Stegostoma tigrinum: one gene and its partners. The protein of the gene in region 2 purifies or fractionates together with the protein of the main gene of each other region. This does not show direct contact. Links are inferred from orthologs where the notes say so. Each region holds a gene or a part of one and is shown on either strand. Other genes may lie near its edges.

What was found. The genes of interacting proteins can lie anywhere in the genome.
Region 1: the proteins of eif4a3 (region 2) and serine/arginine-rich splicing factor 3 purify together in Homo sapiens (affinity purification with mass spectrometry; 3 studies listed by BioGRID and IntAct, with this or other methods). This does not show direct contact. The link is inferred for Stegostoma tigrinum from reciprocal best matches to the Homo sapiens genes EIF4A3 and SRSF3.
Region 3: the proteins of eif4a3 (region 2) and sap18 fractionate together in Homo sapiens (co-fractionation; 3 studies listed by BioGRID and IntAct, with this or other methods). This does not show direct contact. The link is inferred for Stegostoma tigrinum from reciprocal best matches to the Homo sapiens genes EIF4A3 and SAP18.

Annotation. Positions count from the first base shown.
Region 1 is NC_081374.1:45,876,582-45,883,485, forward strand, and holds the start of serine/arginine-rich splicing factor 3, read left to right. Parts: upstream 1-3,882; 5' UTR 3,883-3,951; exon of another isoform or gene 3,952-4,015; intron 4,016-6,509; 5' UTR 6,510-6,511; coding exon 6,512-6,717; intron 6,718-6,904. UniProt on the Homo sapiens protein: Splicing factor, which binds the consensus motif 5'-C[ACU][AU]C[ACU][AC]C-3' within pre-mRNA and promotes specific exons inclusion during alternative splicing.
Region 2 is NC_081362.1:20,270,687-20,277,822, reverse strand, and holds the start of eif4a3 (eukaryotic initiation factor 4A-III), read right to left. Parts: upstream 3,015-7,136; 5' UTR 2,938-3,014; coding exon 2,793-2,937; intron 1-2,792. UniProt on the Homo sapiens protein: ATP-dependent RNA helicase. Involved in pre-mRNA splicing as component of the spliceosome. Core component of the splicing-dependent multiprotein exon junction complex (EJC) deposited at splice junctions on mRNAs.
Region 3 is NC_081359.1:73,360,412-73,367,601, forward strand, and holds the start of sap18 (histone deacetylase complex subunit SAP18), read left to right. Parts: upstream 1-4,168; 5' UTR 4,169-4,188; coding exon 4,189-4,302; intron 4,303-7,190. UniProt on the Homo sapiens protein: Component of the SIN3-repressing complex. Enhances the ability of SIN3-HDAC1-mediated transcriptional repression. When tethered to the promoter, it can direct the formation of a repressive complex to core histone proteins.

The sequences.
Region 1 (6,904 bases), on a different chromosome or scaffold from region 2:
GTCCCTGATGCAGTGCCAACCACTGTGCCACCTACTCATTGTTACTTTCTCATTTCAGTCCACAAGTAAAAATATAGAAGAATAAACAAGTAGGGTCCTTATTAGGCAGGAGAAGAGAGGACCCAATGGTGTTAATAATCAGAAACTTCATTCAAATGCACAAGCAGACAGGCACAAGGGTAGCATGCATGTTTACCTGAGACACCAGGTGACCTGACACGAGGGGTGGCACGGTGGTTCAGTGGTTAGTATTGCTGCCTCACAGCGCCAGGGACCCGGATTCGAGTCCAGTCTCGGGCGACTGTCTGTGTGGAGTTTGCATGTTCTCCCCGTGTCTGCGTGGGTTTCCTCTGGGTGCTCCGGTTTCCTCCCACAGCCCAAAGATGTGCAGGCTGGGTGGATTGGCCAATCTAAATTGCCTGTAGTGTTCAGGGATGCGTATATTAGGTGGTTTATAGGGGGATGGGTCTGGGTGGGATGCTCTGAGGGTCAATGTGGACTTGTTGGGCTGAAGGGCCTGTTTCCACACTGTAGGGCTATGAAGGGCTACAGCCACACCATCAGAAATCTGCTGTCTCAGGCATGTGATTGTCTCAGAGCAGTCTCAAAGTCTGCTGGATATGTGGCCAGACCTGAACTCTCAGAGATAGTAGGAACTGCTGGTGAATCTGAGATAACAAGGTGTAGAGCTGGATGAGCACTCCAGGCCAAGCAGCATCAGAGGAGCAGGAAGGCTGACATTTCAACCTATTTCTGAAGAAGGGTCTAGGCCTGAAACGTCACCTTTTCTGTTCCTCTGATGCTGCTTGGCCTGCTGCATTCATCCAGCTCTACACCTTGTTAACTTAGATTCTCCAGCATCTGCAATTCCTACTATCTCTGATAGAGTTCTGGTCTGTCCACATATCCAGCAACTCCATCAGCGTAGCCACTGGTCTTCAGCAACAGTAAGGCAATAGGGGCAAGAGGAACTTTGAGCTCACTCCAGTCATCCCTTCCTCTCATAGAGACTAGATGGAGGACGAACCACATACTGACCTTCAGAAGTCTTCTAACAGGGAACTCCAGAAGTAGCGGGGTCTTCCTGCTTCACCTTGCCTGCTACCTTCAGACCAAAAGGAGTCTAAGTCAAAGAGGGTGCAGTTGTCTCTTGAAAGGGCATACTGAACATGTCTGGGCTGAGGCCCCCTGGGGCCATCCAGCCAAACTGACAAAGCCAATGGGCTCCAGTATACAGCAGGCTTCCTCCAAACCAGGGACTGCACTGACAGGTAGTGGGAGGGAAAGAAATAAGACCTATTGAGGGTTGTATTGGTAGCACGGGTGACACGTCGTTGTAAATAAGTTCTCACTTTTGTAAATGTGTATTCACTTGTCACTGTCATCTGTTTGTGTATCTCTGTGCATCTGCAAATGCAACGCTGCAGGTACTGCCTCAGCTACCTAGAATACACCTCCTCCCACCCACCCTCCTGCAAAAATTCCATCCCCTATTCCCAATTCCTCCGCCTCCGTCGCATCTGCTCCCACGATAAGACATTCCACTCCCGCACATCCCAGATGTCCAAGTTCTTCAAGGACCGCAACCTCCCCCCCACAGTGATCGAGAACGCCCTTGACCACGTCTCCCGCATTTCCCGCAACACATCCCTCACACCCCGCCCCCGCCACAACCGCCCAAAGAGGATCCCCCTCGTTCTCACACACCACCCCACCAACCTCCGGATACAACGCATCATCCTCCGACACTTCCACCATCTACAATCCGACCCCACCACCCAAGACATTTTTCCATCCCCACCCCTGTCTGCTTTCCGGAGAGACCACTCTCTCCGTGACTCCCTTGTTCGCTCCACACTGCCCTCCAACCCCACCACACCCGGCACCTTCCCCTGCAACCACAGGAAATGCTACACTTGCCCCCACACCTCCTCCCTCACCCCCATCCCAGGGCCCAAGATGACATTCCACATTAAGCAGAGGTTCACCTGCACATCTGCCAATGTGGTATACTGCATCCACTGTACCCGGTGTGGCTTCCTCTACATTGGGGAAACCGAGCGGAGGCTTGGGGACCGCTTTGCAGAACACCTCCGCTCGGTTCGCAACAAACAACTGCACCTCCCAGTCGCAAACCATTTCCACTCCCCCTCCCATTCTCTAGATGACATGTCCATCATGGGCCTCCTGCAGTGCCACAATGATGCTACCCGAAGGTTGCAGGAACAGCAACTCATATTCTGCTTGGGAACCCTGCAGCCGAATGGTATCAATGTGGACTTCACCAGCTTCAAAATCTCCCCTTCCCCCACCGCATCCCTAAACCAGCCCAGTTCGTCCCCTCCCCCCACTGCACCACACAACCAGCCCAGCTCTTCCCCTCCACCCACTGTAACCCAAAACCAGTCCAACCTGTCTCTGCCTCCCTAACTGTTCTTCATCTCACCCATCCCTTCCTCCCACCCCAAGCCGCACCTCCATATCCTACCTACTAACCTCATCCCACCTCCTTGACCTGTCCGTCTTCCCTGGACTGACCTATCCCCTCCCTACCTCCCCACCTCCCCACCTATACTCTCCTCTCCACCTATCTTCTTTACTCTCCATCTTCGGTCCGCCTCCCCCTCTCTCCCTATTTATTCCAGTTCCCTCTCCCCATCCCCCTCTCTGATGAAGGGTCTAGGCCCGAAACGTCAGCTTTTGTGCTCCCGAGATGCTGCTGGGTCTGCTGTGTTCATCCAGCCTCACATTTTATTATCTTGGATTCTCCAGCATCTGCAGTTCCCATTATCTCACTGCAGGTACTAATGCCCCACATCCCTACCACTAGGTAATGTGCCATGGACCAGGGTGCAAAGTGAACAGCTGCTGGCAATGGGTGAATTGCAGATACCGGTGACTTTGGCAACTGGACTCCATCTTGCAGTTGCACAAACACTGCTACTGCATTTGTGTGGTTCAATCGTCATCATGTCATGCTGCATAAGCAACAAGTGTGGGGAGATTGGGACGGCTGACGTGGAGGCGTGGTGAAGGGAGATGGTGAGGGTGATGGGGAGGGGAGATGAGAAGGAGATGGTGAGGGGTTAATGAAGAGGGGATGGTGAAGGGATGATGGGGGGAATGAGGAGGGAATGGTGAGGGGGTGATGGTGAGAGGGGAATGTGGAGAGGGATGTGGACGGGATAGTGAGGGGAATGGGGAGGGGACGGTGTGAGGGGCATGGGGAGGGGATGGTGGGAGGGGGATAGTGAGGGGGGATGGGGAAGAAATGGTGAGGGGGAAAGTGGAGGGGATAGTGAGGGGGATGTGGAGGGGATAGTGAGGGCAATGGGATAGTGAAGGGGGATGGTGAGTGGGGAATGGGGAGGGGACGGTGAGAGGGGAATGGGGAGGGGATGGTGGGAGGGGGATAGTGAGGGGGGATGGGGAAGAAATGGTGAGGGGGAAAGTGGAGGGGATAGGGGAGGGGATAGTGAGGAGGGACGGTGGGATAGTGAAGGGGGATGGTGAGTGGGGAATGGGGAGGGACGGTGAGGGGGAATGGGGAGGGGATGGTGGGAGGGGGATAGTGAGGGGGGGTGGGGAAGAAATGGGGGGTGGGGAAGAAATGGTGAGGGGGAAAGTGGAGGGGATAGTGAGGGCAATGGGATAGTGAAGGGGGATGGTGAGTGGGGAATGGGGAGGGGACGGTGAGAGGGGGATAGTGAGGGGGGAGTGGGGATGGGATGGAGATGGTGAGGGGGGAGAACGGAGGGGACGGGACTGTGTTGGCATGGGGATGGTGGGGGAAGGGAGCGGGCCGAATGCGGGTCCTCCGCCAATCAGACGCCGGGGTTTGGGTGCGGGGGTGGGGCCGGGGCTCACACGTGACTGCAGCTATTTCCGTTAGTTGTGGCGCGAGGCAGCGGCCATTTTGTCTGAGCGCGAGGAGTTGGAGGGAGCGAGCAGGTACCGTGACCGGGGAGGAACCGATAAGGATTAGGGACCCCCCACCATCCCCCTCGCCGGGCTAGTGAGTTACAGGCCGGGAATCGGGGGAGGGGTAAGGTAGGAGGCGGCAGGCGGGCATGAATCACGGCGTGGGCTGGGTCGGTGGGGATCGGCCCTCAGGGTCTCTTGTCCCCGGGCCTGCCGTGAGAGTGCTGCCCGGAGAGCGGCTCTGGGTCAGCCTCTGCCTCCGTGTGTGTATATTATATATATATATATATATATATATGTGTGTGTGTGTGGGTAGGGAAGTGTCAGGAAGTTCAGCCTCTTCCCGGGGCCGTCCTCGGGTGGGGCTCGGCGCCTCTGCCGCCATTTTCTCGGCAGAGACTGAGAACAAAGAGAGCGGCGGTCCCTGGGCCCTGACCCCCGGCCCGGCGGCCAGTACTCGGACTCAACCGGATCCGGGGCATCGCTGGACGCTCGGCGGCGTCAGCGCCGTGTCCTACCCGATCTTGCTAAACACCCACCACACCACCATCTCTCTTCTCTCTTTCCCCCCCCCCCCTCCGATAATCAGGCATTCCCTTCTACCACACACCCCCCCCCCCATACACAGGCATTCCCTTCTACCACACACCCCCCCCCCCATACACAGGCATTCCCTTCTACCACACACCCCCCCCCCCATACATAGGCATTCCCTTCTACCACACACACACACACCCCCATACATAGGCATTCCCTTCTACCACACCCCCCCCCCCCATACATAGGCATTCCCTTCTACCACACACCCCCCCCATACATAGGCATTCCCTTCTACCACACACACACCCCCCCCATACATAGGCATTCCCTTCTACCACACACCCCCCCCCCCATACACAGGCATTCCCTTCTACCACACACCCCCCCCCCATACATAGGCATTCCCTTCTACCACACACACCCCCCCCCATACATAGGCATTCCCTTCTACCACACATCCCCCCACCCCATACACAGGCATTCCCTTCTACCACACACCCCCCACCCCATACACAGGCATTCCCTTCTACCACACACCCCCCACCCCATACACAGGCATTCCCTTCTACCACACACCCCCCCCCCCCATACATAGGCATTCCCTTCTACCACACACACCCCCCCCCCCCCCATACATAGGCATTCCCTTCTACCACACATCCCCCCACCCCATACACAGGCATTCCCTTCTACCACACACCCCCCCCCCCATACATAGGCATTCCCTTTTACCACACATCCCCCCACCCCATACACAGGCACTCCCTTCTACCACACACCCCCCACCCCATACACAGGCATTCCCTTCTACCACACACCCCCCCCCCATACACAGGCATTCCCTTCTACCACACCCCCCCCCCCATACACAGGCATTCCCTTCTACCACACACCCCCCCCCCCCATACATAGGCATTCCCTTCTACCACACACACCCCCCCCCCCATACATAGGCATTCCCTTCTACCACACATCCCCCCACCCCATACACAGGCATTCCCTTCTACCACACACCCCCCACCCCATACACAGGCATTCCCTTCTACCACACACCCCCCCCCCCATACACAGGCATTCCCTTCTACCACACCCCCCCCCCATACACAGGCATTCCCTTCTACCACACCCCCCCCATACACAGGCATTCCCTTCTACCACACCCCCCCCCCCCCCATACACAGGCATTCCCTTCTACCACACACCCCCCACCCCATACACAGGCATTCCCTTCTACCACACACCCCCCACCCCATACACAGGCATTCCCTTTCCCCTTTCTACCCCCCCCCATACACAGGCATTCCCTTCTACCACACACCCCCCCATACACAGGCATTCCCTTGTCCAAAGGCATGACCTTTGCCATTGTGACTTAATTTCTCTGGTCCAAATATGGAGGCAGCTAATGATCCACTAGTTCATGAAGCGTTTGATTTTGTAGCTGTCCCAGTGACAGACTAGCCACTTGAAGGTGTTCAGGTGAAATATTGATCTGTTGTATCCAAGATCTGTTTGGTTTTGTCTGCAAGCTGCTTTAGCAACATTTTAAGCTAACTCATCCCAACTCCTTGTTCACTTCTCAGAATATCTGTGCTGAATATTTGATTACATATGTTTTGCTTTGTAGAGTTTTGCAGCTGTTTCCACAGATATTGGTCTGAAATTACTTGGTTTGTAGTGGTTTCAGGATTCCTCCTGTGGGATAGTAAGCGTTGCATTACTCTCTCTAGACCCTTTGTGTGACTTTAAGGGGGTCAGCAGTGCAATGGACATGTGAAATGTGAAGCAGTTTCATACTTGCATGCAAGTGCTGTGACTGGATACTGGACTTTCTGTGGGGTTTGGTGTCCATTTAAAACATATCTTTTAATGACCTCCATATTGCCATTATACTGATGTTGAGGGATTCCAGATTAATTCCTGAATTATTTAAAGTGCTCATTGTGTTGCTTGTTTTTCGAGGTTTTAAATGTCTATAATGACTCAAGGTTGGCAGAATGTGTAGAATCTGTTAACTAAATTTTTAAAATTTGTATCTTGTATTCCAGCCATGAATCATGGTTCATGTCCTCTTGACTGCAAGGTGTACGTAGGAAACCTTGGAAACAATGGAAATAAGACAGAGCTTGAGAGATCATTTGGATATTATGGCCCTCTCCGCAGTGTATGGGTTGCCCGGAATCCACCTGGATTTGCATTTGTTGAGTTCGAAGATCCGCGAGATGCTTCGGATGCAGTCAGAGAACTTGATGGAAGGTAATTATTTCCCTCCCTAAAGTTGGTGTCATTCCCTTTTGAGTTGTCTTCACAGCTTTTGTTGCATACTTCCCAAAACTGATTCTGAGAAGCAGTCAGATCAATGTGCTGTTGATGAATGGAGACATTTTATGGACATGTGGAACTGCTCCATCTAATGGCCAGAGTGAGATTGCAGCACAACGGT
Region 2 (7,136 bases):
GCTCTTGGATTCAACAGCAGTTGGCCACTTAGCCAATGGAGTCCCTTCCTATCATTCATTAGGAAAAGTTTTGCCTCATCTCTGCCCTAAATGAGATACCTGTTGCCTTGAAATTTTGCTTCCTCATTGTACAGACCCCAGTGGGGGTAAACCTCCTCTTAGTATCTGTGTCAGGGCCTCATAATTTTACTTCTCTCGTTAAGATTAAATCTGATTCTTGCAAACTCCAAATGATATACACCCACCTCCTTAACCTTTTCGCCTAAGGTAACCTTTCCATCCCAGTTCAGTTTGGCCCATATAACTCTGAAACTTTCCTAGTAATGTGCTTGTCCAAATGTCTTAAATATTCTAACTGTACACACCTCTACTACTTCCTCTGGCAGTTCATTCCAGAATTGCAATTCAGCACAATCTGTAACCTCATGGCCCGGCATATCCCCAACTCAACCATTACCATCAAGCCAGTGACTCAACCCTGGTTCAATGGACAGTGCAGGAGGGAAGGCCACGAACAGCACCAGGCATACCTGATGATGAGGTGCCAATCTGGTGAAGCCACCAACAGGACTACTTGCACGCCGAACAGAGAAAGCAGCAAGTGACACTCAGAGCTAAGTGATCCCACAAGCAATAGATCAGATCTAAGCTCTACAGTCCTGCCACATCCAGTCGTGAATGGTGGTGGACAATTAAACAACTCTCTGGAGGGGGCCACTCCACAAATATCCCCATCCTCAATGATGGAAGAACCCAGCATATCAGTGCAAAAGATAAGGCTGAAGCTTTTGCAGCAATCTTCAGCCAGAAGTGCCAAGTGGATGATCCAGCTCAGCCTCCTCTGGTCGTCCCCAGCATTACAGATACTAGTCTTCAGCCAATTCGATTCACTCTATGAGATATCAAGAATCGGTTGGAGGCACTGGATACTGCAAAGGCTATGGGCCTTGACAACATACCGACAACAGTACTGACTTGTGCTTCAGAACTTGCCTCTCCTTTAACTGAGCTGTTCTAGTACAGTCACAACAGTCACAAGCTGTTCCAGTACAGTCACAATCCAACAGTGTGGAAAACTGCCAAAGTACGTCCTGTACACAAAAGGTGGGACAAATCCAACACTGCCAATTACCACCCCATCAGTCTACTCTCAATCACCAGTAAAACGATGGAAGGTGTCATTAAGAGTGTTATCAAGCAGCACCTGCTCAGCAACACCCAGTTTGGGTTCCGCTAGGGCCACTCAGGTCCTGATCTCATTACAGCCTTGGTTCAAACACGGTCAAAAGAGCTGAATTCCAGAGGTGAGGTGAAAGTGACAGCCCTTGACACCAAGACCGCATTTGACTGAATGTGGCATCAGGGAGCCCGAGCAAAACTGGAATCAATGGATAACAGGGGGCAAACTCTCTGGTGGTTGGAGTCATACCTGAAATATAGAATATGGTTGTGGTCGTTGAAGGTCAATCATTCTCAGCCCCAGGACATCTGTGTAGGAGTTCCTCAGGATAGTGTCCTCAGTCCAACCATCTTCAGCTGCTTCATCAATGACCTTCCTTCCATCATAAGGTCAGAAGTGGGGATGTTCACCGATGATTGCACAATGATCAGCACCACTCATGATGCCTCAGATACTGAAGCAATCCGTGTTCAAATGCAACAAGATCTGGACAACATCCAGGTTTGGGCTGACAAGTGGTAAGTGACATTCATGCCACACAAATGCCAGACCATGACTATCACCAACAAGAGACAATCTAACCACCAGCCCTTGACATTCAACGGTGTTACCAACACTGAATCCCCCACTATCAACATCTTGGAGGTTATCACTGACCAGAAACTCAACTGGACTCACCACATAAACACGGTGGCTAGAAGAGCAGGCCAGAAGTGGGAATACTGTGGCGAGTAACTCACCACCTGGCTCCTCAAAGACTGTCCACCATCTGCAAACACACAAGTCACGAGTGTGATGGAATACCCCCTCAGTTGCCTGGATGAGTGCAGCCCCAACATCACTCAAGAAGCTTAACACCTTCCAATTTTAAAACTGTTTCCTACACTGCAAAGGTAGTTACACTTCAACAGTATTTAATTACTTCATGGTTGCTGGCTAGATGACTCTTTTGTGATGTAAAGGTGATGCTTACAGCCAACGTTCAATTCTTGTCCCAGCTGAGGTTACTACGAAGGTCCCACCTTCTCACCTGTGCCTCTTGTCTGACTGGGTGGTTACTCTCATGTTAAAACACCACAGGCATTTCTAATGACACAGCAGCCCTACAGTCCAGCTCTACACCTTTTTTCTTAGCCCTACAGTCCATTGGGATTATGGTAATTACTTTATTTACAGCCAGCAAAATGTCATGGACCTTAATTTCTTAGCAAAAGCTTACCACATCTGCGCCCCCCTCCACACTTGTCCTAAGACCATCTGCTGCTGAAACCCTTTAAAATGCCTTGCATTGTCACCTCCAGATTTGACATTCCAGAACGATCTCATATCCTCCAATCTATGTAAAATTGTAACTGTTTACGGTTTTCCAAACGTGCAAAGCCTTGCTTGTTCCAAATCCTTACCGTTGAGGGCGCTGTCCACTTAATGCACGCAACTGATTAGTGGAAGAAGGAGATGGATTTGCGGGCATCCTGGGCCTCTAACAGAAACACTCTGGCTCCAGGAGCGTGAACAGGGTCCACTCCATCAAGGCCAAGGTCTGAAGCCCTGGTTTCAATCACCTCAGCATCGCGCCGCCGCGAGGCTTCCTGCCAGTCTAGGCCGCACTCACCGTACGCGTAGATACCCCGCAGTAAGTCCTCCCGCAAGCCCATCGTGTCGAAGGTAGGGGTGACATCCACCTCCTCGCTTGTCTCAAACTCCACCTTGGAGATATCTTCCTCCTTCAGGATGCGCTTCCTCCCCGAACTTGCCATGATCCGGTCCCTGGTCACACGAATACCGTCAAACACCGGGAGAGTCCGACAACACGCATGCGTGAACGCCGCCAATCTACGTGACCCAGCTCGTGTACGTCAGCGTGATATCGTCACTGGGCGTGTCGTCGATTTGATTGACAGCAGTTCCTGAGGGATTTGGTCCAGATATTTGAAAAGCGTGAGGTCTTAAGTTCCCATGATAGCCACCTTAATTATCCATTTTTGATCCCTTTTTTCCTATCATTGTGCTGACAGACTTTATGCCGTGAAATATAGCATTGGCTTAAACTTGGATTACTCAAACTGAGCATTGGGAAACCCAAAGTATTCTGAATCCCTACCACAGATTCTGCTTCTGTGCAATTGATTCTAACCTTCACCCTAGCCATGATTCAGGTTGAGAAAGAATAGGAACTGCCGACGCTGGAGAATATCAGATAACAATGTGTGGAGCTGGATGAACACAGCAGGCCAGGCAGCATCAGAGGAGCAGGAAAGCTGACATTTCGGTTCTGATGAAGAGTCTAGGCCCGAAACGTCAGCTTTTATGCTGCTTGACCTGCTGTGTTCATCCAGCTTCACACTTTGTTATCTTGTTTTGGGTCTCGACCCTTCTTTGGAAATGGCAGTTAGAGCTGAAGAGGTCGAGGGAGGGTAGGAGGCCTTGGGGTGGTGTCTAGGAGGATGGGGTGTGTTGGAGGTGGGAGAAGGGGTCCGTAGAGGGGGGGATAGACTCACGATTAAAGAAATAAGCACAGAGGTGGTGGAAACACTGTTCAACTTCCAGGCATGAGCAATATTCATTGATGTTTGGATGGAGGGGGATAGAGGTGAGTCCTTTGCTGAGGAATGACCGTTCATCTTCAGTGAGGGGGAGGTCCAGGGGGATGGTGAAAACCCAGCAGGGCTGGGGCTGCTTTTGACTATAGACTTGCTAGCTGTAGGGGCGGTGGGCAGAGCGGCGTCAGCGGTGGATGGAGTGGCATTGGTGTCGGTAGACTGTCCTTGATGTTTGCAATGCTACCGGTTTCTCAAGAAGGGTCCAGAGCTGAAACATCAGCATTCCTGCTCATCTGATGCCGCCTGTCCTGCTGTGTTCACCCAGCTCCACACCTTATTATTTATGATTTAGGTTGAACTGGAATATTCACAGCCTCAGTGTCATGATTGACCATGGCTAAATATCAGACCTTAGATCCTTTCCATTGCTTGTAGAAAGCTTACCACATCTGCGTCCCCCTCCACACTTGTTCTAAGACCAGCTGCTGCTGAAACCCTTTACAATGCCTTGCATTGTCACCTCCAGATTTGACATTCCAGAATGATCTCATATCTTCCAATCTATGTAAAATTGTAACTGTTTACGGTTTTCCAAACGTGCAAAGCCTTGCTTGTTCCAAATCCTTACCATTCTTTGATCTCATTGGCTTCCTGTCTTTAAGGTTTGAAATTTAAAAATTATAATCCTTGTATTAAAATCTTCCATGGCCTCACTCTTCCAATCAATTGGAAATGCTGTACCTCATAAAACTATGCTCAGACTTTGATCCTCTGACTCTAACCTCTGTGAATCTCTCCCCCTCAACTTCTCAAAAACAGCAGCGAGGGTCCTATTTACTGAAAATTGTTAGGAAGGGGAGGTTGAACCTTTCTGATAACTAAAATTGAAAAACAAGCCTCCAATCTGTTACAGCAGGAGTCGCAGTCCCTTTCTAATGATTAAACCCAAAACACCCAGAGAAACTCGCCTCACCTCTCCTAATCTGTTAAACTGTTACGGACCCGGGGAGGTTAAGTGAAAGAAAATTCCTGATAGTCACTTTATAAATAACAAATAACAATTTATTTATTTAACTCTAACAATAACATACTGAACAGTTGCTCCACCCCCAACTTCTAACATTTCACTAATTGAACAAAATTCTACTGAAACACTTCAAATAAACACAAGTCCCACTTATATAAACCCAATTAATAAAACAGTAAATTAAAACTTAATCTCTCCAAGTTCACACAGACTGCATCTTCATAGAATTCCAACAGCATGGAAACAAGCCCTTCAGCCCAACAAGTCCACACTGACACTTGGAGCATCCCACTCAGACCCATCCCCCTATAACCCACCTAAGCTATACATCGCTGAACACTATGGACAATTTAGCATGGCCGATCCACCTAGCCTGCACATCTTTGGACTGTGGGAGGAAACTGGAGCACCCAGAGGAAACCCACACAGACACAGGGAGAACATGCAAACTCCACACAGTCACCCGAGGGTGGAATTGAACCCTGGTGCTGTGAGGCAGTAGTGCGAACCACTCTACCACTGTGCCATGTTATCCATTGTTAATAGTGATCTGAACTTTGTCTTCATACAGCTTTCAGAGCCCACAAAACTGTACCTAATATCTGGGTTAAAGTGATAAGATGAAATGACACGCTATTGAGAATGGAGTGAAGGGTGGATTTGTGTGTCTTCCGGAACACTCTGCCTTCTCCAGCATTTCCTCTTGATTTCAACTCACAAACATCTTTCTTCTGCAGATCTTGCTGTCATAGATGTTTTCTGTGTAATTTCCTAGTTCAGACATCCATTTTAACTCTTAAGTACTGTAAAAAACGTAATCTTTTAAAGGGACAATGCAATACTTTTCCCCATTTTACAATTTTACACACACCAATGTTGTAACAAAATCTCTTCCCAATCATCTCCGCCCATTCATTTCAATTAGGAGATTGGTTGCCCCTTTCCTAATGTCATGACAATTCTAATGTTATAATGTCTTAAGACTGATATTTTGCTTTGCAAAAGTGTTCAATTTACGAATAGGTAGAGGAAGTTGCAGCTTTGGTTTTATGAAGGTTTCAACTCACTCAGAGTTGAAGGAACAAAATAAATTGATGTAAGCTAGGCCTGCACCTGAAGCAAAGATATTTGGATGTGAATGTAGGGGTATGGTTAGAAAATTTGCAGATGACAAAAATTGGTGGTGAAGTGGACAGCAAAGAAGGTTACTTCAGAGTACAATGGGACATTGATCAAATGGGCTGATGGGCTGAAGAGTGGCAGATGGAGTTTAATCTGGATAAATGTGAGGTGTTACTTTTTGTTAGGGCAAATCAGACCATGACTTACACATTTAACGCAAATGTCCTGGGAGAGTTGTCCAACAAAGGGACCTTGGAGTGCAGGTTTATTCTTCCTGAAATTGGATTCCCATGTAGGCAGGGTAGTGAAGAAGGTATTTCATACACTCGTCTTTATTGGTCAGTGCATTGAGTGTAGGAGTTGGGAGGTCATGTTGTGGCTGTGCAGGACATTGGTTATGCCACTTTTGGACTACTATGTTCAATTCAGATTCCCTTGCTTTATGAAAGATGTTGTTAAACTTGAAAGGGTTCACAAAAGATTTATAAGGATGTTGCCAAGGCTGGAGGGTTTGAGCAATAGGGAGAGACTGATTAGGCTGGTGCTGGAGCATCATAGGCTGAGGGGTGACCTTATAGAGATTTATAAAATCATGATGTGCACGGGATAGGGTGAATCGTTAAGGTCTGTTCCTCAGGCTAGAGGGTCCAAAACTAGAGGGCAGGTGTTTAATGTGAGAGGGGAAAGAGTTAAAAGGGACCTAGAGGGCAACTTTTTCACTCAGAGTGTGGTGCGTGTGTGGAATGAACTGCCAGAAGAAGTGGTGAAGACTGGTACAATTACAACATCTAAAAGACATCTGAATGGGTATATGAATAGGAAGGGTTTAGAGGGATATGGGCCAAAAGCTAGCAAATGAGCCAAAATTAATTTAGGATATTTGGTCAGCATGGAAGTGTTGGACCGAAGGATCTGTTTCTGTGCTGTGCACCTCTATGACAATACTAATTTTATTGTGAGGATACAGTGGGAGCTCATGCTCAGTTGAAGAAAGAGTTGGGAGGGGAAAAGAGATTGGAAGATCTGCCTACCTTGGAGTTAGAAGATAAAATTTACAGGAAACTAACTTGGCAAAAGCAATTTAGCTTGGCATCAGGCAGAGAAAGGCAGCTTGTCAAGAACTGTAAAGCAGCTGTTGGACCAAGAGTTGTGCAGAAACTGAGAAAAGACAGGGTGAAAGCAACCTGTATTAGAGCAAATACTGGGGATGCTGGAGATTTGAAATGAAATCAAAGTGCTGGAGAAACAGAACAGGTTAACCTGAAAA
Region 3 (7,190 bases), on a different chromosome or scaffold from region 2:
TACTCACCATAACAGACGGGACAGTATAAATTCCCAGTGGAGTAGAATAACATCACTTCATCGGAACCTCCACTGATGGCGTCACCTAGCATGGTGACAAAACTTGTGAACAAAAACAAGCCAGCTCGGCGAGCAAGTCAACAACTTCAACCGCTACCTGAGGCTGAATCAGAATATTTGTAAACTTGGCACCCACTAAACTCTGTGTTGAGATATCAAGCCCTCCTTTTCATCAACTATATTGCCTTTTCCATCTTCAAGTCATCATCTGTTTCTTCCCCTGCTGCAGCTAATTTGCTGTTAAAATCTTAATTCATTCCCTGTTACCTGTAAAATTAATTGTTCTAATGATTTTCTGGCTGGACTCCAACATTTCATTCTCTATGAATTTGGACTTATTCAAAACTACCTATGTCTGAAGTTAGTGAGTCTCATTTGTCTGTCACCCGTTTCTCACTGACAGACATTTTCTCCTAGGTGACTAATGCATCAGTTTGAAAATTCACATCCTTGTTTTCAGAGTCCTACACAGCCACAGTCCATGACCTACCTGTGTTCTTTCCTCCAACCCCTACAATCCTCCAAGATACTTGTGCTGCTCCAATTCAGGCCTCTTGAACACCACCTGTTTTAATTGCTACAATGTTGGAGGCAATGTCTTCAAGTGCAGCCTGGAACATAAGATGTGGAATTTCTGCAACTAACAAACACCATACTGCAACACTACCGCCACTCACTTCTCATGACCCCCAACTTTTCTACTGTTCTTTCCTTTTTAAAAATGCTCTTTAAAACTTGTTTCTTTCAGACAACTTTCCAGATATCTGCATGATGTCAAATTTTGCCAAAGAATTATCTGCACTAGTAATTAAGGCAGTTATTTGAATATTAGGATTCTAAATAGCGAGAGGAATTTGGGATTATTCTAATTTGTTTATGTGGGGAAATTATTAGCATGCTATAAGATATAGAAACAGTAATAAGCTATTCAGCCCATTGTGTCCATTATTCAAGGAGATCATTGCTGATCAGATGATCATCAACTACACTTTCTTGTCTTATTCCCCAACCCTAGACTCCTTTAATAATTAGAATTCAGCTTTGAATATGCGTAATTACCCAGATTTGACAGCCATCCTCTGGTGACTGTCTGTGTGGAGTTTGCACATTCTCACTGTATCCACATGGGTTTCCTGCAGGTGCTCTGGTTTCCTCCCACAGTCCAAAGATGTGCAGGGTGGGTGGATTGGCAATGCTAAATGCCCATAGTCCTCAGGGATGTGTAGATTGGGTGGGTTATAAGAGTACAGGTCTGGGTGGGATGCTCTGAGGATCGGTGTGGACATGTTGGGCCGAAGGACCTGTTTCCACACTGTAGGGATTCAATGATATCTATGAATTCCACAGATTCACCTGCCTTAAATAGAAGTTCCTCCCCATGTCTATCTTAAATGGGTGACCCTTTACTCTGAGATTATGCCCTCTGGTGGTAGAATCTTCCACAAGGGAAAGCAACCTTTCTCTATCTACCCTGTCAATCCCACTAAGAATCTTATATGTTTCAATAAGGTCTTCTCTCATTCTCCTAAACTCCAATCAGTACACATTTTCTATAAAGAAAATCAATTGATTGATTGATTGAATGATTTAATGTCATGTGTACCGATGTACAGTGAAAAGCTTTGTTTACAAGCAGTACAGACAGATCATAGTAAGCAAGAATGCACCGTTCAAAAAGACTTAGACAGAGGCATACAGGTTATATTGCACAGGGCATGCACCAGGCAAGATCAATGTTGCAAGATCCGTATTATTTGAGGCTAGAAAGTCCACTCATTAGTCTAATACCAGCTGGGAAAAAGCTGTTCCCTCCATACACTAGACCAATCTAGTGAATCTTCTCTGGATTGCCTCCAATGCCAGCATATCTTCCTTTAGCTAAGGGGAAAAAAGAACTGCTCACAGTATTCCAGGTATGGTTTGACAAGTTAACAAAGTGTGGAGCTGGATGAACACAGCAGGCCAAGCAGCATCTCAGGAGCACAAAAGCTGACATTTTGGGCCTGGTCTAGGCCCGAAACGTCAGCTTTTGTGCTCCTGAGATGCTGCTTGGCCTGCTGTGTTCATCCAGCTCCCCACTTTGTTATCTTGGATTCTCCAGCATCTGCAGTTCCCATTATCAATGATTTGACAAGTACCTTGTTTAATTTTATAAAGGCCTCACTATTTTTATACTCCACTCCCTTTGAAGTAAGGGTAAACATTCCATTTGCTTTCACCATTAACCACTGAACTTGGTTTCTAATTTTTTTGTGATTTATGTACCAAGACTTCCAAAATCCCTTGTCCTGCAGTTTTCTGCAGTCTTTGCACATTTAAGTATTATTCAGCTCTTCTATTCTTCCTGCCAATGTGCATAACCTCACATTTTCCAGCCCTATATTCCAATAACTAAGCTTTTAGCCACTTGTTTAACCTGTCTATTTCCCTTTGATGACCCTCGGTATCATTGTCACTACTTGCATTCCCGCCTTTGTTTCTGTCAGCTGCAAACTTGGTGATCATGCATTCACTGGGGGTGAACCAAGTGACCAGTCATTGACATTTATCATAAACGAAAACAGAAGTTGCCGATAAACTCAGCAGGTCTGGCAGCATCTGTGGGGAAAAATCAGAGTTAGTGTTTCGGGTCTGGTGATCCTTCTTCAGAACTGATGGAGGCGAGGAAATTGGTGGTTTATATGCGGAAGACAGGATGGGGGAAGGGGGTGATGAGTAAATGGTAGTTGGGTATAGATCCCAAAGAGATAGAACAGTTGGACAAAGGAGTTGATTACAATCTGGCCAGGAGGGTGATTAGCTGTTTATGGAGACTGTCAGTGGCTGACAATAGGTAGTGTGAAATGACAGGCTATGTGATAACAAGGCCTGAAGTGTGGGGTGGGGACAAGGACGTGGGAGAGTCCAAACTCTAAAATTACTAAACTCCACATTGAGCCGGGTGGGCTGCATGGTTACCAAGTGGAAAATGGGGTAACAGAGTGTGGAGCTGGATGAATACAGCAAGCCAGGCAGCATCAGAGGATCAGGAAAGTTGATGTTTCAGGCTGGGACCCTTCTTCAGAAAATGGAGTGTTATGCTTCCAGCTTGTGCTGAACTTCACTGGAACACTGCAGCAAGCCGAAGACAGAGATATTGGCCAGGGAACAGGGTGGTGTGTTAAGGTGGCAGGCAACTGGAAGCTCAGGATCATTTTTGCAAGCAGAACATAGATGTTCTGTGAAGCAGTGATAATGGGAACTGCAGAGGCTGGAGAATCCAAGATAATAAAATGTGAGGCTGGATGAACACAGCAGGCCCAGCAGCATCTCAGGAGCACAAAAGCTGACGTTTCGGGCCTAGACCCTTCATCAGAGAGGGGGATGGGGTGAGGGTTCTGGAATAAATAGGGAGAGAGGGGGAGGCGGACCGAAGATGGAGAGAAAAGAAGATAGGTTGTTCTGTGAAGCAGTCACCCAGTCTGTGCCTCATTTCCCCAATGTAGAGGAGACCACATTGTGAGCAGCAAATGTTGCAGACTAGATTGAGTGAAGTGCAAGTGCTGCTTCCCTGGAAAGTATGTTTGGCCCCTTGGATGCTGGGGAGGTAGGAGTCAAGTGTGATAACAAGATGTAGACTGGATGAACACAGCAGGCCAAGCATCATCAGAGGAGCAGGAAGGCTGAAGTTTCCTCTGATGCTGCTTGGCCTCCTGTGTTCATCCAGTTCTACACCTTGTTATCTCAAATTCTCCAGCACCTGCAGTTCCTACTATCTGGGAGATAAGTGTTGCAGCTTCGGTGGTTGCAAGGAAAGGTGCCGTGGGGCTACTGGGGAGGTTGGTGTCAGCAGAGAAGGAATGTAGACCAAGGTATCCCGAAGGGCACGGTCCCTGCGCAAGGCAGACAAGGGAGGAGACGGTAAGGACAAGGAGAACCTTATCGTTGTTGAGGGAGAGACAGTAGATGGTTCGGACCCCGTTAAGAAATGATGGACTTTCGGTTTATATTTCATTGCCACGTTCCTTCGCTCTACTGCCAGTCACCGTGGGCAGTTGCCAGGAGCAAAAATGGTCGCCGCAGTTGTCACAAATAGTTTGTTGACATGCGCATGCTGCGTGCGCAGCTCTCGGGACTTGCTCGCTCTCTATGGTGCGGTCGCCATCGTTGAGAGAGCGGCGGGGCGGGAATATGGCGGTGGAGTCTAGAGTCACCCAGGAGGAGATCAAGAAAGAGCCAGAGAAGCCGGTGGATCGCGAGAAGGTGAAAACTGTTCGCACTGACGGGGGTGGGCGGGGGCTAAGGTAGTAGCGGCGACCCTGCAGGTTGAGTCAGGTCAGGGCCTGGGATGTCACCTCCGGGAAAGTGCACGTTGGATGATGCCGCTGCCGCCGCCTGAAAGTGTCCGGAGCTCGGATTCTGACTGTAAGGGTGCGGGCTCTCTCTGTCTGTCTCAAATGTGAACCATTTCTCACTGAGTGAACTGACTGAGGGCCCGCGGTCTACGCTGATTGAGGGTGAGGCCAAGATTTCCCCTTCGGTCCAGTTTTAGCCGGTAACTGGAAATTTCTAAATCAGAAACTAGGAAGTATTTTGTTTTTCAACCTTTGTTTTGTTCTGAATGTTTTTCTTTGTAATGTGTTGTGACGGTGCTAATAGGGTTTCCAGTTAATCGTAGAATTACGGCTAGGGACCAGTGCAATTGGAGCTATGGGTCGCCTACTGTTTAATTTCATTGACTGAAATTAGACTGGACATCGGGTACGTCGTGGAGGGGTGATGTGATCCCCATTTTGCCAGCGCTCAGAACAAATTTTTGTTTTCACATATAAGAACAAAAAAGGGACACACTGGTTTATGCAAATAATTTAGCCATGCCTGAATTTTGCATCCAATATTTTATGCCTGTTCACAGCATTCTTTTCTCCGCACATCTCAGTTTGGTAAACGTATCCCATTCAGAAGAAAGCGTAAATCTCTCAAATCGTTTCAAAATAGATGTGAAATTAAGTGGAGAATTTTGAATGCAGCAGGAAGCTTGTTTTTTTCGATAGCCTTTTAGCTTGTGATTTTTCTTAAAAATAAAAATCTGTTTCACTGCAGACTTTTGTGGGGTTTTTTGGTTTCTTTGAACACCGGACCCAAGTCGTTAACTCTGTTTTCTCCTCCACAGATGCTGCCAGACCTGCTGAGCTTTTCCAGCAACTTTTTGCTCCTGATTTACAGCATCTGCAGTTCTTTTCATTTTATAAGTCACATTAGAAATGGGTTTCCACAATTCAGTGTTTTTTTTTCATTATGGAAAGTGAATGTTGCAGGATACCTAACCTGAATTGCCTTGGTAAAAGTGATGGTGAAGTACCATCTTGAACCATTTCTGTCCTAAGAGTGTAGCGACACCCACAATGGTGTTAGGAAGGGAGTTCCAGAATTTTGATCCACAGTAGCAGATTAACTTGATGCTGTTAATTTTCCCATGTTTCAGCTACCCTTGTCCTTGTAGGCAATAGAGGTTTGGAAGATGCTGTCAGGGGATCCTTGGTAAAATACTGTGATGTACTTCGTAGGTGGTACACATTGCTGCCACTATGTCAGTGCTGAAAGAAGTGACTATTGAAAGTAGTGGTTGGGGTGCCAATCAGGTGGATTGTTTGGCCTGCGATAGTTTCTTGGCTGTTGTTGGAACTGCGTACAGGCAATGGACAGTATTCCATGCCGTTCCTGATTTGTGCTAGACTTGATATTGGGCAATGAGATTTACAACAGTCTTTTTCCCAGATTTTACAGCATTTTGCAGTGTCTTGTTTTTATCTTAAATCTGTGTCCTTTGGTTCTCGATTCTTCCACAAACAGGAATACATTCTCTCAACTCTGAACCACACAATTTTTGACACATGTCCTCTTGTTATCTCTAACAAGAACAACCACAACTTCTCCAATCTATCCAAGAGCTGAACTTTCCTATTCCTGAAATTATTCTCCCAAATCTTTTCTGCATACTCTCTAATGCCTTTACATCCTTCCTAAAAAGCGATGCGCTGATCTTGAGGCTGAGCCAGTGTTTTATATAGGTGTCTCAATTTTCTTCCATTTGTACTTCGTTCCCATTCTCATGAGCATACTTTAGAAACTCTTTCACAACTAGCACAAGAGTGCTGGAGGAACTCAGCAGATCTGGTAGCATCGGTGGTGATAAACAAAGTTAAATTTTCAAGTCTAGAATGACACAAATGTTGCCAAACCTGAGTTTTTCCAGTATTTTCTGTATGTTACAGATTTCCACTAACCACAGTATTTTGCTTTTATTAGAAACTCTTTTCCCCTTTCTGCCCTTTATGCTATTACTGTTCAGTCGCTACTGGATTAAAGTTTTCTGTTGTAACTACACTATAATTCATGAATGTTCTTGCAGACTTGTTCCTCTACATCTTTTCCACTAGTTAGTTGCCTATAGGGTACATCCAGAAGTGTAATTATATTCCTCTGTTCCATAGCTGTAAGACTCCTCTAGGATAACCCCTCTCATTAGTACTTTAATTTCTCTTTAATTAGTATTGCTCCCCACTTTTCCAGAGTACCTTGCATCTAGGAATATTTAGTCCCTCACTCTACCTTACTCATTCAAGGCATCCATTATCACCACAACATAATTTGCATGTGGCTATTTGTGTCTCCCCCTCACCAGCCATATTTGGTGCACTTAATACATTCACATGTATCCATGTTAAAACTTACAGCATGCCCCTTACGCTGACAGTATTTCATGTCATGTTGTATCCTATTTGAGTTTTTTTGTCTTTACAATTCATTGTGCATTTTGTTTTGCTTTGCTAATATTCCACGCTTGTACCAATTAGTTTAAACCCACTGAAGTAGTGTTAATAAACCACCTCAGCGGCTGCTCACTAATCAAGTGCTGATGTCTGCTATTTCTTTGCTTAATAGTGCGGCCAACTGAAATATTTTTAACTCTTTTCTAAAAACCTTGGATTTAAATTTACTGAAAAATTCATTGTCCCTTAACTATTTAATTTTAACTGTATCTATCAGGTCAAATTAATTGAATACTGATTGTAATGGAATGATGGCAGGTGCTGACCTAATCGTATTATCAGTAGCCTATTAATCTAGATATTTAGGTAATGCTTTAC